Coturnix japonica: one gene and its partners. The protein of the gene in region 3 purifies or fractionates together with the protein of the main gene of each other region. This does not show direct contact. Links are inferred from orthologs where the notes say so. Each region holds a gene or a part of one and is shown on either strand. Other genes may lie near its edges.

Region 1 (3,820 bases), on a different chromosome or scaffold from region 3:
ACTACATACTATGAACAACCTAAGCATATACTGTTGCTTCTCTGAAAAAGGAAGCAGTGCAAAGTGTACCCATAGGACTGCTGTGTGTAACATGGCTTGGGAGGCAAGTGGTAACATCCAATACGTTATTTACTACTATTATTATGTAGTGGTGAAAGCTAAGATGCGGATTAAGTATAATTTACTAATTCCTCCTCTGTTTGATGTGTAGGTTAAAGCAATCTGTTTGTGACCTACTCATCTTTGTAAAAATCTTGATGTTTAAAGGAAAATCTGTCAAAGTCCAAAATAATCATGAGTATAAAGATTTTAACTGCTGCTTAGCTTGGTATACTTGTGAAACCCAATGTGCAAAAGCCACTTTCATAATGCAGTTTATAGATAGTAAGAAACCTGTTTAAAAACAAGTTCAACCAAATATTCTTTAAAAGTTCAGATAAAAACCCCATCAGTGCAATTATTAGCAAACAGAAAAAGCCAATTTACATTATAGCTTTATAGCTGCCAGCAAGCTAATTTTCTCCATACTACTTTAATTTGTTTTGACGAAGTAATGGAACGCTTCTATAATGTAGTTTTATTTTGCTCATAGATGCATGTAACACTAGCAACATCACTCACATACAAAATTAATACAGCAGAATACCACTGGTTTCCTGATCAGGCAATTACGATCGAGCAGACAAACACTGATTTACCACTTCCAATAAGTGAGAGTTCTCCAAAGCAGCTGCTACACGTTCTTTATCAGCAAGCTGTTTATTAACTGTACAAAAAGAAATACCACAAGGAACCGGTCAAAATATTGGTATAAGAGGTCCTTTTAGAAGCACTTTACAGTGAGTCTCATTGTTGCTGTGGTACTGAGCTACAATCCACAGATGCTAACTACACCACAAAGCTGTGGCCAAAAGTCAATGACAGTTCTGTAGCAGATCTGAAACCAGTAAGTTATTTATGATTCAGCAGCAGGAAGCTGTGCACATGTAACAGGACAGGAAATTTACCTCCAGCTCTCCCCCCTCTTTCTGTGCCTTCCAGGTAAATCAATGACGACTTGACAGCACAAGCTGTCCAAGGAAACATTTAAACTAAGACACTACACACTTTTAAGTTTTGTTATTACATATTCCCATTCTGTAACATCTCCTAGAAGGGGCTGGTTTGCATACAGGTACCAAACAGCTGATCTGCAGGTGGAGGGATCTATCTTTTCTCTAATTTTTAGAGTAATAAAAGAAAACCACACAACAGAGCATTAAAACATTTACCTGCGTGTTCAGAGGCATGTGTTCCTGGTGTTATGTGAACGTCCATCTTAAAAAGCATGGAGAAAGAAAAAGGAGACAAGTCAATAAAACCCTCAAAGATGAAAGTATTTAATTAAGAAAATAGCAAAATAAAGCAACAATGAAAGACATTCCTGACACAGCCAGCTACTGTACCCAGAAGAATAAAACCCAGTCCAAAAGAACACTGCACTCCCACCTGAGTAAGCCTCCGACAGGCAGGGAGGTGAAGCACTGCCATCTCCTGTGCCCTCGTGCCTTTACACCACAACCTCACTCACCTGTGATGCTATAGCACAGAACTGCAGCTCTGCACCAATCTGTTTGTTTAGTTTTTTCCTTGGCCTGGAGTGTTTCCCTCCTCCATAACATGGAACCTAAAGTTCTAGTGGCTTCATTTTCTAATTTAGCTGTTTTCTGAACACCGTCTGTCTCTTCTGCTTTCCAGAGCGATTTTACCACTCACCTTAAACCTCTCGGGCAGTGATCTGATCAGTTTCACCTTTATGGACAGGCCGATGAGCGTTGCCATGCTGCAGTGCGGGATCGTGGGTGTGAACTCCACCACTACGGTGCTCTCAGCATCGTTCACCTGTTGGAAAACAAACAGGCGTGTGGCCAAAAAATAAGAATACAAAAACAATGTAATGAGCAAACAAGTTGGAAACAAATCAACAACAAAAAACAAGACAGTCTCACTTTAACTCGAACTTGCTCGACGACATTCAGCTCCTCCAGGGTCAGGGGATGCTCGGGGTCGTTAATGGAGCGGATGAGATGTGCCGCGTTAAGGAAAGCAGGATGGAGGCCGCCCTCCCCGCATCAAACCCCCCCATCCCCTCCCTGCCGGCAGGATATCAAAGATCTCCCGGTCGTCGATAGAGTCGGGCAGCTCATCGTCCTCCTCCCGCGCCGTCACGGGCCGCTCCCCCGAGCGGCGGTACACGAGCGGGTTGGCGTTCTCCAGCGGCGCAGCGCCCGGACCCACCATGTCTGCGCTGCAGGAGGAGCGGAAGGAGCCCGGACGCGATTCACCAACGCACCGGGCGGGCACGGCTTGTGCGAGAGTGCCCCTGTGTGGGGGAGCGATGGAACAGCACGAAACGGGGCTGAGGCCGGCGGGGAGAGGAGATGGGCGGGGGGTATGGGGGTGTGGGTGAGCGGGGGGTGCTGTGGGGCGTCGAGGTGAGCTCCGTGCTGCGGGGGAGTTGAGTCGCGTGTTAAAAACGTTTTGCTAATACACCTGATACTGATTTTGTTCACTGAGAAGAGGGAGAAAAAGGATAAGGAGGTGATGGCCCAAGCTGCTGAGGTGAGCAGGGGCTGTTATGTGGGATAGCCCAGAGCTCATTTGAGCTGATAGGTCTCACTTCCTGCTTTGGTATTTTGAGGAGAAACTCGTTATGGTGAAAAAGCATCTAAAGAAGAACCAACTGACAAATCTGTGTTTCAAGACAGGGTGAACTTGCATGATGTATCACCCATTTGTGTTGGAGAAGATGGCTTTGCAGGCTTTATGTATCTTCGTGCTGGAGCTTTAATATCTCATTTAATTTTAAATATGCAGAAGTGTTAAAAAACTACTTTGGAAGTTGGAGGCCAGTTCTTGCAGAAAAGCACACGTACCATGCCAATTGTGGTGCAGATATGCCAGCGTTCATCAAACCTTTGCAATAGCTAAGCTTTTTTCTTTCTTCCTTTCTTCCTAGTTATTTGTAATCTGCAACCATGCTTTTTGTTGTGTTCATTTCTTTACAGGAATTGTAAGTCAGTACTTCTGAAACTCTTTGAAATTTCACTGCTTTGTAGCACTGATATTATTCAAAATATGAAGTAGTAAATACTTCAGAGGGAATTGAGGTGTGCGTAGGATTGTAGAATTAAAAACAGATTAATGAGGATAAGACCTTTTATTGTTCACAGTTGATGCGAGGCCAAATCATCCATCATCAGGATCAGGTAATGAATAGGTGTGTTACACTAAGGGATTGTATTTGTATTCCATCTCAGTAACAGCTCTGAAAGTGCTAATGCGGTGCATTTTCAGAAGGGGATTTAGCTGTACTCCCTACTACACAGTCAGCAGAGACCTTTGTACCAGTGTCTTCCGCATAGAGAACAGAAAATAACCTGGAATCCAACCTGGGAGAAAAATGGCTCCTCAAACGCAGATTTCTTTGCTTTATATCTTGTTTTGTGGTATAACATTCATCATTTATGGAACAGAAGGTGAGATGCAAAGTCTTTTGATTTGGATTTTTGATTATTATTTCTTTAACTGCCAATGGGGAAACAAACTGCACTAATAAATTACAGGGTAGTAGTTTTCAAAGGCAGTACTTCTCCTGTATTTGTATTAACAATCTGCAAAAGGATCCTAAGAAGCTCAGCGCAAAAGTGACTTTTTTTTTTTAATGAAACCATTTTGAGATGCTTTTATGAAAATGATAAAAGGGCTTGTTGTTTATTGAAAGGACATTGTTTTGTTGAATGGTGAATTTAAAAAATGTTGATGGTTTTGCCAGTTATTG
Region 2 (3,566 bases), on a different chromosome or scaffold from region 3:
ATGGAGTGAATAAATATGTTACGAGCATGTGAGCAAAATACCCATAAATCAAAGAACTCAGACTGCAATACCTACTGTTTTCAGCTTCTATATTGCCTCACTTTAAGTGTGACCTTCAAAAGAGAGCCATTCTGTTTATTTTGAGATAATAAAGAATCAAGCACTTTGTACAAATACTGCTGTTCCAAAATGGGCCTACAACACAAGGAATTAAACAGGCCTTTAGGTATCAGCTCTCTGCTCTATTTTAGCTAGATTTTGGGAAACAGATTTGCATAGCAAATTTGGGTAGTTGATTCCAATCCACAGAGCATTAAGTCTGAAGGACCAAAACAACTACATGGAAGTATACACAGATTCCAAGTGTGCAGCACAGGGGCTCTCAAAGCGCATGTTCAGCAATAATAGCAAAACAAGAAAGAAAAGGCATGTTCATTACCTTGGTAATGGTGAGCACTATGTCAGTGGATGTTACCAATGGCTGAGGGTTTCCTAGCAGCTTATAGCCAACCACTTCAGGAAGCACCATGCTGATTGGTTGGCCCAACATCACCGCTTCTGCTTCAATGCCACCAACACCTGGAAGCAAAAGAATTAAACCATCAGACTATCCAAAAGACACAAAAGAGTCAAATAAACCCATGAGATAAGTATTTTATGGTGACTTGATTTAAGGTGAGAGAAGGGAAAAAGTAAAACAGGACTGAGACTTCTATGAACAGATATTTGTCTTCTTCAGTTTTTGCAAGGCTGTTTTGGTTTTTGGTTGTTCTTTCCTGCAAGGATAAGTTTCAGTTTCCTACTTTTAGACTTGATCCTCAGCCATCAGATGGCATATTAGATAAATTTAAGTAACTCACTCTGATGAGACTTGGGATTTTACAGTGAGCATGTAGAAATTTCATTTAATAACTTAACCATGCCATGAATAAATAAAGAAAAAAAACCCTGACGTGGCACAGAACATTGGTGTGCTGTTTATGAAATATATTGTAACTACTGGTTATACAGAAAAGTTGTTTTACAGGAAAGAAAGTTTACTATACTCAAAGATACAGGTTGTTCCCTACTCATGAAATTGGGTAAGAACTAGTTTATCCTTAAGGTCCATTCCTCACCCAAGCTATTCTACATTTCTATAATTTTGAAGCATACAGACTGTTCTAAAGAATACTGATCAGCCAACACACTATTCACTGTGAGCTACTGCACATACCCCAGCCAAGTACTCCCAAGCCATCTACCATGGTGGTGTGTGAGTCAGTGCCCACCACACTGTCGGGATAGTAGTAGCCATCCTGATCCATCACCACTCTTGCTAAGTATTCCAGGTTCACTTGGTGGATGATCCCAGAGCCAGGAGGAATAATCCTCATGTTTTTAAAAGCCTGAGAGCCCCACTGAAACAAAAAATAGTCAAACATTTTTAACACATGTGAGCACTGGACAAATTTATGTTTGTTCCATCTTTGGTCATGCAAATAAGATTAACTACTTCAGTACCTTTAAGAACTCAAACCTTTCTTTGTTCCTTTCAAATTCCAAATCCTGATTCTTTTGCAAGCTGTCTGATCTGAAAATGAAAATAATCATCTGTCACAATCAAAAGGCTTCACCTGACACTTATGTATGGCCAAATATGCTCAAATGGTGAAAGAAGAGTTATTAGCTAATTTTAATGCTGATCAATCTCAGCTTTTAATGTCATCACAGCAGCAAAACAAAGGTAATCAATGTTGCTTGTATTATTCAAGAAGTTTAGTTTAAATCTGAGCACTAGTCCGCATATCATACAGATGGCTGTCTTGAAACTTGTACTTTGGGAAAACATAGATAAGACATTAGAGCAGTGTGAAGTTTTCAAGGCCTCAATAAACACAAGGAAATCAGAAAAGCAGAAAAGGGAACTGGAACACAACTACCTTGCAGCTTACATTAAGCAATAGCTACCCCTGTGGTTTAAGACAGAAAGGGTTAATAAACTTTCTACTTACACCAGCTCCCTAACCTAAGGATGAAGAGTTTGAAAGAACTAAAGCACAGGACTGGCCAGTGTTCTCTCCACATATACAAGGGTCCTACTAGAATTAAAAGAAGGCTGGGACAAAAAGTAACTATTAGAAAAAAGGATATGTAAGTTCTGAATAGGACTGATAAAATGAAAGTAATTAAAATAGACAGAAAAAAATGATCAAAACAGTGTGAAAGTGGAAAAAAAAAAATTGCACTACTTCCCAAGGATCTAATAAAAATGATACAGATGTCAGTTACAAATTTTAAAATGTTAGGATTCACAATAACACCTCTACAAAAAATTAAAGGGACTTTATTTTTGACTGGAGTGCATGTCAAAATTTTTTGGCCTTTTTTCTCCCATCAGTTATGAAACAGAAAGGAAGAAAAAGGTTACATGTAAAAACTTTCCGTCAACATTCCGCTCTGAAACAAGTTCTGTGTTACATCTCTGCCCAGAAGCAAAGTAATTTTATTCAGCAGAGCCCTTAAAATATTGGCAGTGCTAAAATGTTCATTGCGTTCTTTAATTTCTACTTGAAATCTTTTTGAGCTCTGCTTCAAAACTATCTCTTACAGAGGACAATAAATACAGAGCATTTATGCAGGCAAGGCAACTGCAGACCAACAAACTTCAGAAGTTTGGTACGCAGAAGGAAATCACGAGGAAACATGCAATGGCAGGATCTGCCTCAACGAGTATTTGGGTAGGCTCATGTTTATATATTAGGGTAAAAGGAACAACCCTCTCTAGAGGTCTCAGATTTAGTTGCGAGTCTAGTGAACATTTGTCTGCCTGTAGCACTTTCAGAATCAGCTTGCACTGTACTTCTTTCCTATACTTCTAGCAGTCATACTAATCAATATCTTGCACTCTTTCCTGTGGAGGCAGAGAATCAGCAAACAGCTGAGTCAGGGCAGCTCAGGTCCACTCTTACACAAATAAGGAAGGAAAGAAACAATCTTTCCTATCCTTTCCAGGAAGCCCCACAAGGTCTAAAAGTGCAAGTGGAAAAAAAGCTATTTTTGAACAACTAATAACAATGTAGTATTATTATGGAAAACTTTGATCACTATAGGTCTGGACTGAGCCTGTTTCTATTAACATTCAGTCCAGGCTTGCGCTGCTAAGAAAGGCACTACAGAAAGAATAAAATTTCTATTTTCTTCACAGCAATTGATACAATGCTTTAACTTCATCACTTCTCAGGTTCTACAATGTTGTAGTTCAAAGGCATAGAATATCAACAATTACATTACCAGCTTACTAACATTAAGAACTAAGAGATGTTTTGTATCCTTACCGCCTGTTAAAATCAACCTGGATGGAGTGATCTATCACTAGGTCAGCTGGACAGATAGGATTGATTTTTTCAGGATCCCCACCAAGTTTCTTCACAGCATCACGCATTGCAGCAAAGTCAACAACAGCAGGTACCCCACTATAATAGAAGATAATTGGGCAATGTGTAAGGAGAAAAAAAGGCAAAACAAACTCAGTCTAAACCCTGAGACTCAGAACAGGCACATATAACCACACAGGAAGCAAACTG
Region 3 (3,566 bases):
ATTAAGTTCAACTTGATGCAGGAAAGAGTCAGTGAAGGATTTTAAAAAGGTATAAAAGTTTCCAGATTGAAATGCAAGGAGAGATTTTAGAAGTCAAGAAGGAAAAGAACCAGGTAACAAACCAGAAATGCATCAATGTGTCACAAAAGTCCATGAAGTCATCCAAAAATTATGGAAGCAAAAATGATTTAATACTCTGACCTGTAACATAAGGATCCAGTCCAGTAAAGCACATCACCTCACATGACTTTCAATGGACAGAATACCCAAGCATCGGTACAGTTTCACTCACAGTACCAAAGCTGTGGCATCCTGTATAGCTGCTGTGGCTACAGCTCAGTACAGATGCCAACTGAGCTGACTGCCATGAACTATCAGGGAAATACCATATTGTTTTACACACAGTTCTTATAGCCCTGTGAACCCAATTATCCTTCCTTTCCATTCTGTTGCACTTACCTGTTTTAAGTTCACACATGGAATAAAATCACACCGTGGTTCCCATCTCTAATGCTATGAATGCTTACTGGACCTGACATAAGACTGGATTGCGCTGCAGTGAACGCTAAGACTTCCACCACAAACATATTTTATGCATTTCTCCAGATCCTTCTCCAGCTAACATTCAACCCTAAGTAATTCAAGCAAAGCTAGAAAGACCAAGTTACATTTCCTACAAGGACACATGATAGTATTCTACACCCAAACCACTGTAACGTGTGAGGTTTGCATAACCAGCTCTGCCCTCTCTCCATCACCCCCAAAAAAATCACTAAGCTACAAATCTAATGACAGCTCTTTCTTGATTTAGCACCATAAAGAAAGCACTCAACATCATTTACAGGGAAGAGATGAAGAAGACAACCATGTATCAGTTATATACTTACTTCAGATTAGCATAGGTAATAGAGGCTTAGAAAGTAAGAGAACATGGACCAAGAATGCCTTCCCCCTAGGCAATACAGAACTGCATTAAACTTAAATACAAAAAGCCAACCTGACATAACAGTTCTGATTCTGTAACTAGCACTTGAATTCAGTGCTGTGCAGCCAAGAAAAGAGTTTGCAGGCTTTTAGTTTGTGTGGTTTTGGCAGTGCTGCAGCGTGTTGGGGTTTTTTTGGCGGTGGGATTTTTTTCTTTGTTTCTTAAACATCCTTAAGCCAGACATTACTCCCCAGACAAGGATCACATCTTCATAAAAAGACATTACCGTTAATGTTGTCACAGTAGTAAAAGTGTTCATCATTTAGAGAAGGGCATGCAGAAACTAAATCCTGCAGGCCCGCACCAGTTACAGTGAGACAACCCGAGAGATTGAGGTGCTCCAAGTGTGGCAGTCCTCCTCCCAAAGTCAATGCCCTGTGAACAGACAGAAAGAGGGGTGTTAAAAGCTGGCACAGCACTATGCTGACAAGTACTCCTGTATGTCACCACGTCACGTATTTACTAACATCCTGCAAGAAAACCACACCTCTAATAAGCCACTTAATTTCAAGTCTGGCATCCCATACGGTTAATCAGCCTTGAAGCCACACGACAGGGCTGAAAAATGAATCCATCTCTACAGAAATTAACAATTCCCTTTGACAGAAATACAGCTCTGTGGGAAACCACTTTTCATTAATGATTCTGGGGATGACCAAGTATTTCTAGGAGCCAGCATGACACACTTCTCCAACACACCACTGATACTGGTGAGACTCCCATGGCGATGTGTATTTCTCAACACATCCCAAAAACAGAACTGCAAGTTTGGTGTGTAAAATTTCCAAAAAATTTGAGTATTATGTTTTTATTAGTCAGTTTGAAACTCAAATTTGTATTTCCTTGGGTCAGATGAATCTTTACCAGCTGAGCCTCTCTCTGCCATCACAGCACTACACACTATTCAAGCCAAATTCTATTTTCACTCCAAGTGCAGGAGTTCAACTGCAGGTAAAGGAGCCTCAAGGCTGTAGTGCATCTGACCCCACACTCAGTGTTAGGCTGACTGCTCCTCTGCGCTCACAGGACAGCAAACCTGTCAGAAAGGGGAGAACAGACAAAGCCACTCACGCTTCAATCAACATGTTCCAGGTTCAAGCAAAGGCCTTTTCACTTTTATGTCCTAAAAGCATGAGTATACAAAACCCTCCCTTGTCAGCAGACAGGAAAAAGAACAACTAACAAAACCAGCTATCAATATAAAGTTCAGTTTATATGAAATGAATGTACATTAGAGTCTCATTATTTTTTCTTCTGGGACCCAAAGTACTACAGAAGTGCAAGAAGCACTTACTGCAGAATATACCCTCAACTCTTAACATTTCCCTGTAACCAAAAAGCACTGATGTGAGACCACAACTAATCACCCCCTATGACTCAAGCATCAAGTCTTCCTTTGATTCTATAGGACTCAGTGAAGAATAACACTGGTAACATGTCAACTACACGCAGCATTACCTGTCCATTGCCAAATAAACCACAGACAGCAGTACCAGTCTGCTCCTACACCTGGACAACATCAGGCTCAGCCGCAAAGCACAGCTGTCTGTCCCTGAGTAACTGCTAGGAGACACCTGAACAGCTGTACTCTAAATTCTGTGTCAAAGTGTATGGAGAGGCAATTCAGTGCCTGCAGTGCTTCACAGTGTTTCTCCACGGGCTAAAGTGTACAGTACAAGTAGGAACGAAGTCTTGAATTGCAAGCAGCTCTAATTAGTCCCAGGAGCTACAGCACATCTGAGCAAGTGACTGCAAGCATTTCTGTCTTGTCTCATTTTCATTATGAAGCTGTAGCTGCACATTTCTGACATAATACAAGGCATTGAGTAATAAGTCAGGCTTTTATCTACTGCAAGCAAACTTACCAAAGTGCTTCATTTCAGAGGAGCTGTCTAAAAGAAACTTTTTTAATCCTTTCATTCAAAGGAAGAGTTGGGAGAAAATTTTCACATCTGCTATTCTCAATACTTTGAGATGCAAGGACTGCTTAAGATATACTGGATGTTCTCAATGTAAATGCTTAAACTGCGACTAGGTGGATTCAACCCAGAGCAACCCAAGCACACAGATAATACAAAAACCACACTGCAGCAAAACAGCTCAGAAACGTCTTTTCACCTGAGAGCACGATCTGTGATCTGGTAACACCCAGACAGACTGAGAAACTGAAGAACTCGTGCAGTCTCTTCATCTGGTTTGTCACTGCCAGAGTAGGCCAAGTCTTTTTCCTCTGACTGTTTAGTCCTTGGTGGTTTTTTGCACAGTGCAGAGGACTCTGGAAGTGCTCGAATAGTTCTTAGTGCTGTTCCAGCACAGCAAAATGAGTGACCGCAGTAAATGAAGTCAGTAGAAGCACAGTGCTGCTGCCACCCTCTAGTCCTTAAACCATAAATGTCTCTACTGCAGCAAGATGCAGAACAATTAATGTGGGATGCTGGCTCCACAAGACAAAATCCTTCAACATTTCTGTGTCTCCACTCAGCAGCATCTTCAATATCAGCTAAATCATCTGCATTCAGCATCCACACATACGCAGAACTGAAGTTTTCAGAGCCGTCGGGTTTAGTCCAGTGATGCTTAC
Region 4 (3,566 bases), on a different chromosome or scaffold from region 3:
TGGGCAGTCCCTGCTGTGCAGGCTGTTTGTGATCTCCAGACACAGCTTCCTCTGTGCAAGCAACACAGCACATGTGCTAGGAATTCCTCAGTGCAGAGAACAGTACGGCACAGTCTCTCTCTTTCACCCCAATACCAGAAGTTAATCCCTTTGCAAGGCTGTCAGCCTTACCTGACTGCAGTTCCTCTCCGAGCCTGGGTACCATGCGTCCAGAGAAAACTTTTGGGTAGACAGGGGCCAGAGATCCAGCTGCTTCCATCGCTGCTTCACTGCCAGGAGGGAAGAGAGCAGGAGGGGTGATGTAAGCAATGCAAACTCTGGGCTGTTTGTGCACCAGCTGCAAAGATCCTGGCCAGAACGTACCACCAGAAATCCATTTCTCAGGATTCTGCTTTTTTCACCCTATTGGCAGTAGAGTCCCTTGCTTTGACAGACCCAGACTTTTTAATTCCAATTCCAGAAACCACATGGCTTATTCCCTTTGCTTCTAGACCCATGTGGTCTTTCCATAGTTCCTTTGCCTCCACCCAGACTAAGCCCATCTCTGTAGCAGAGCCAGATCTCGTTCCTCATCCCAGAGTATGGGTGACTGGAGCAGTGTCAGCTCAGCACTCACCTGCTCTGGGAATCTTCCTCGTGCAGAGAGAGCCGGACAAGATGATCCACAACCAGCTCCAGGTCAGAGGGCGACAGGAAGCCTGGAACAAGAGCCGGAGAGGAATCATGCCCTTGGCCAAAGGCTGAGATCCCAGCGTTCTGGCCAGCATCCTTCCCTCTTCTCGTCCAGGCTATTAGCAATGCAGCAGCACACAAACTCCAAAGATTCAAGGTGCCCAGTACAAGCAGGCAAGATAAATCAAGTGTTCCTGGAGCTCACAGACTGGATAAGAAGTGCTGCCACTCCTCCTGTGCATCCACATGCAGCACAGACAGCTGACCACAGCTCCCAGAGCAGGGCAACACCTCCCCTCTGCCTCCCCAGGGGATGAGAAACACCAACCTTGCAGAGAGCCCAGGACAGTCAGTGCCCTGATCCCAACCAGCTGGAGCTGCACACTGGGATCTGTGAGTGCTGAGAACACCACAGAGCAAACCGGCTCCTGGAGCGACAGCAGAGCACTCTCATCTGGAGACAGAAGCATGGAGTCACTGCCTGCAGCTCACTGTCACGGCACAACCACTGCCACACAGCACCAGACAGACACTTCCTGAGGCCCTGCCAGTTCACATCCAATCACACTAAATCCCTGGGGCAGGCTGCACATGCAGCCACCCAAGTCAATGAGCTTGTCTCCTCTGTCAGCATAAGGGAAGGCAAAGCAGCGCCAGAAGCTTTCAGGGTCACACTTAAGGGAGTCTGGGTTCCTTCCGAAAGACCAGCAAACCTCACCTTCTTCTACATGTCCCCATTTCTGCTGCAACTCCAGGAAACCCAGCAGCATTTCCAAGATTGTCCTTCTCTGGCTGCTCTGCAGGGATACAAAGGTGTAACCCAGCTCTCTGTCACTGCAACATCTCAGCCCAATGCCACAAGGCCAGGGGTGCCCACCCACAGCCAGGGAAGGACACCCACTTTGGTTGATGCCCCCTTCCTCTCACCAAGTTGGACAGTCACAAGGTGCACTCAACCCCGCTGCCTGTGACCGCTGAGCCCAGGGTGCCCCTCACCTGTGAATGCTTGTTGTACTGCTCCAGCAGCAGGGGAAGGATGCTGTGGGTGAGGCGGTGGTAAGTGCGGAGGGAGGCACTTGCTGCTGCCTGCAGGAGTTTGGCACTTGGCCACACCAGCTTCATGTCAGGCTCACAGAGATGGTGTCTGCAATCTGAGATAGGCTGGGTGTTAGCTACACCGGCAGAACCGCCTCTGCCTCACGTGCAGGGCATGGCTGATAACTGGACTACAATGTGCCGCTGGGACACAGCTCTGAGCTGCAGTGCAGCCTCCTAGGCAGAGCTGCTGCCCCCAGCTCCAGGCACACAGCAAAGCTTTGGACATCCCACTGCAAAGAGAGGGAAGCAACTCCACTCAGTTTTTATTTCCTACTGTACCCTCTTCTCCTCCCTCCTACAGCTGATACTCTCTCAGGGAAGCCAACACTAGCTGCCAGAAATAGAAGAAACAGGCTTCAAGGAGAACATGAGGGCAGAACACCTCCCTTTGGCTAGGAGGATGCTTGCAGGTCTGGCAATGCCAACAGGCCACTCTGCTCAGAGACGGGCAGGTCTCCCTGGCAGCTACCTTGCAGAATGCTGCTAAGGAAGGAGTCCAGCAGGTCCTCGGCATCTGAGCTGAGCACAGAACGGGAGAGACAAGCAGAAAGGGCGTGCAATGCAGAGAGGCACTCTGCCTCGATCTTCTCACTCGCTGTCTGGAACACCTGCAGGAGATGCCGTGGGGTAAGCTGAGCTCAGTGCTGACCCCAACCACAGGCTTTACACTCCCAACATGGGCTGAAGAGGCTCAGGCTCCATTATCACTTCCTGAGTGCCTTGAACAAGCACACCCAACAATCCCCCCAGACACACCAGTAGGGGTAGCCTGTCCCCCCCCATCCCCACTTTTCATATGAGCTGTCCAAGGCCACAGGTGGGGGCTGGAGGGAGATATGGGGCTCTACTGGTTTGTCTGTGAACTCCTGCTCAGGAGGAGTCCAGCTGTGCTGGAATACTTGTTAGGGGCTCTGCAGTACTCACCTCCCTGCGCAGGGATGACCAGAGGCTAGGGAGGAATTCCTGTAGCTCCTTCTGCCCATAGATAGCACAGCAAGCAGTCTGTAAAAAGGAGCCAGGAGAGAAAAAACAAAACAAAGCAAAACAAACTTGTGTCATTAGAACAGAGAGCAGGGATGCTGCCCACACTGGCAGACTCAAGCAGGACTACATGAAGCACTCAAAGAGAGGAAAGAGTGATGCAGGCCTAACTAGGATCCTAGAAACTATAAACCAGGCTCTGCAAGTGAGAGACTTTGGCTGCCAGATACAAGAGAGGAGCTTGGAGGTGGTTGGCTTCTACTGGCACTGTCCAGCTGTGGTCTAAAGGGAGCGGTGGATCCCTCCTTACCAGAGTCTGCAGGGAGTCAAGCTTGGCACTTTGCAGGTCTGAATCCAATTTCTCGATGAGCAGAGGGAGCAGGAACTGCAGAAAGAGATGGTTAAGACTCATCCTGCTCTTTGTACCACTTTATCCATGGCCTTGCAGGGCTGCAAGCTCAGCCTCTGCCAGGAGAGGCAGAGGTAGAGAAAAACGTGCAACAGGCAGCACCCTCCACACGCGCAGCCCCAGGGACTGGCAGGACACAAGGAGTACCAGGACATGGGGTGTCCTTGCACAGACTCCTGGTCTCATTTACTTCCTGCAGAGCTGCACTAAGAGTTGCAGTATTATGAAAGGCGGCCTGTGTTCAAGAACCCAAACTGCTACCTACCTCAGCAAACTGCGGCGTGGAGGCCAGTACAGCCCGGAGGCTAAGGATCAGATCTTCTCTCTGGATGCCGTGTGGATCATTGGGGGGCTGGAAGAGAAGTATGGAGAGCACGTCATGAAACATCCCAGATCAGCCACCAGC

Evidence for each region.
Region 1: the proteins of FBXL5 (region 3) and CIAO2B purify together in Homo sapiens (affinity purification with mass spectrometry; 3 studies listed by BioGRID and IntAct, counting the BioPlex papers as one, with this or other methods). This does not show direct contact. The link is inferred for Coturnix japonica from reciprocal best matches to the Homo sapiens genes FBXL5 and CIAO2B.
Region 2: the proteins of FBXL5 (region 3) and ACO1 purify together in Homo sapiens (affinity purification with western blotting; 3 studies listed by BioGRID, with this or other methods). This does not show direct contact. The link is inferred for Coturnix japonica from reciprocal best matches to the Homo sapiens genes FBXL5 and ACO1.
Region 4: the proteins of FBXL5 (region 3) and MMS19 purify together in Homo sapiens (affinity purification with mass spectrometry; 4 studies listed by BioGRID and IntAct, counting the BioPlex papers as one, with this or other methods). This does not show direct contact. The link is inferred for Coturnix japonica from reciprocal best matches to the Homo sapiens genes FBXL5 and MMS19.

Annotation. Positions count from the first base shown.
Region 1 is NC_029526.1:9,722,415-9,726,234, reverse strand, and holds CIAO2B (cytosolic iron-sulfur assembly component 2B), read right to left. Parts: upstream 2,353-3,820; 5' UTR 2,281-2,352; coding exon 2,148-2,280; intron 2,069-2,147; coding exon 1,989-2,068; intron 1,882-1,988; coding exon 1,756-1,881; exon of another isoform or gene 1,738-1,755; intron 1,318-1,737; coding exon 1,272-1,317; intron 767-1,271; coding exon 669-766; 3' UTR 552-668; downstream 1-551. Other genes in the region: fatty acyl-CoA hydrolase precursor, medium chain-like, read left to right, coding at 3,443-3,518.
Region 2 is NC_029547.1:62,725,562-62,729,127, reverse strand, and holds part of ACO1 (cytoplasmic aconitate hydratase), read right to left. Parts: intron 3,456-3,566; coding exon 3,318-3,455; intron 1,574-3,317; coding exon 1,504-1,573; intron 1,401-1,503; coding exon 1,217-1,400; intron 580-1,216; coding exon 440-579; intron 1-439. UniProt on the Homo sapiens protein: Bifunctional iron sensor that switches between 2 activities depending on iron availability. Iron deprivation, promotes its mRNA binding activity through which it regulates the expression of genes involved in iron uptake, sequestration and utilization.
Region 3 is NC_029519.1:69,533,599-69,537,164, reverse strand, and holds part of FBXL5 (F-box/LRR-repeat protein 5), read right to left. Parts: coding exon 3,104-3,566; intron 1,361-3,103; coding exon 1,212-1,360; intron 1-1,211.
Region 4 is NC_029521.1:19,491,343-19,494,908, reverse strand, and holds part of MMS19 (MMS19 nucleotide excision repair protein homolog), read right to left. Parts: intron 3,513-3,566; coding exon 3,426-3,512; intron 3,137-3,425; coding exon 3,062-3,136; intron 2,773-3,061; coding exon 2,695-2,772; intron 2,379-2,694; coding exon 2,240-2,378; intron 1,824-2,239; coding exon 1,669-1,823; intron 1,470-1,668; coding exon 1,391-1,469; intron 1,127-1,390; coding exon 1,001-1,126; intron 699-1,000; coding exon 617-698; intron 270-616; coding exon 172-269; intron 1-171. UniProt on the Homo sapiens protein: Key component of the cytosolic iron-sulfur protein assembly (CIA) complex, a multiprotein complex that mediates the incorporation of iron-sulfur cluster into apoproteins specifically involved in DNA metabolism and genomic integrity.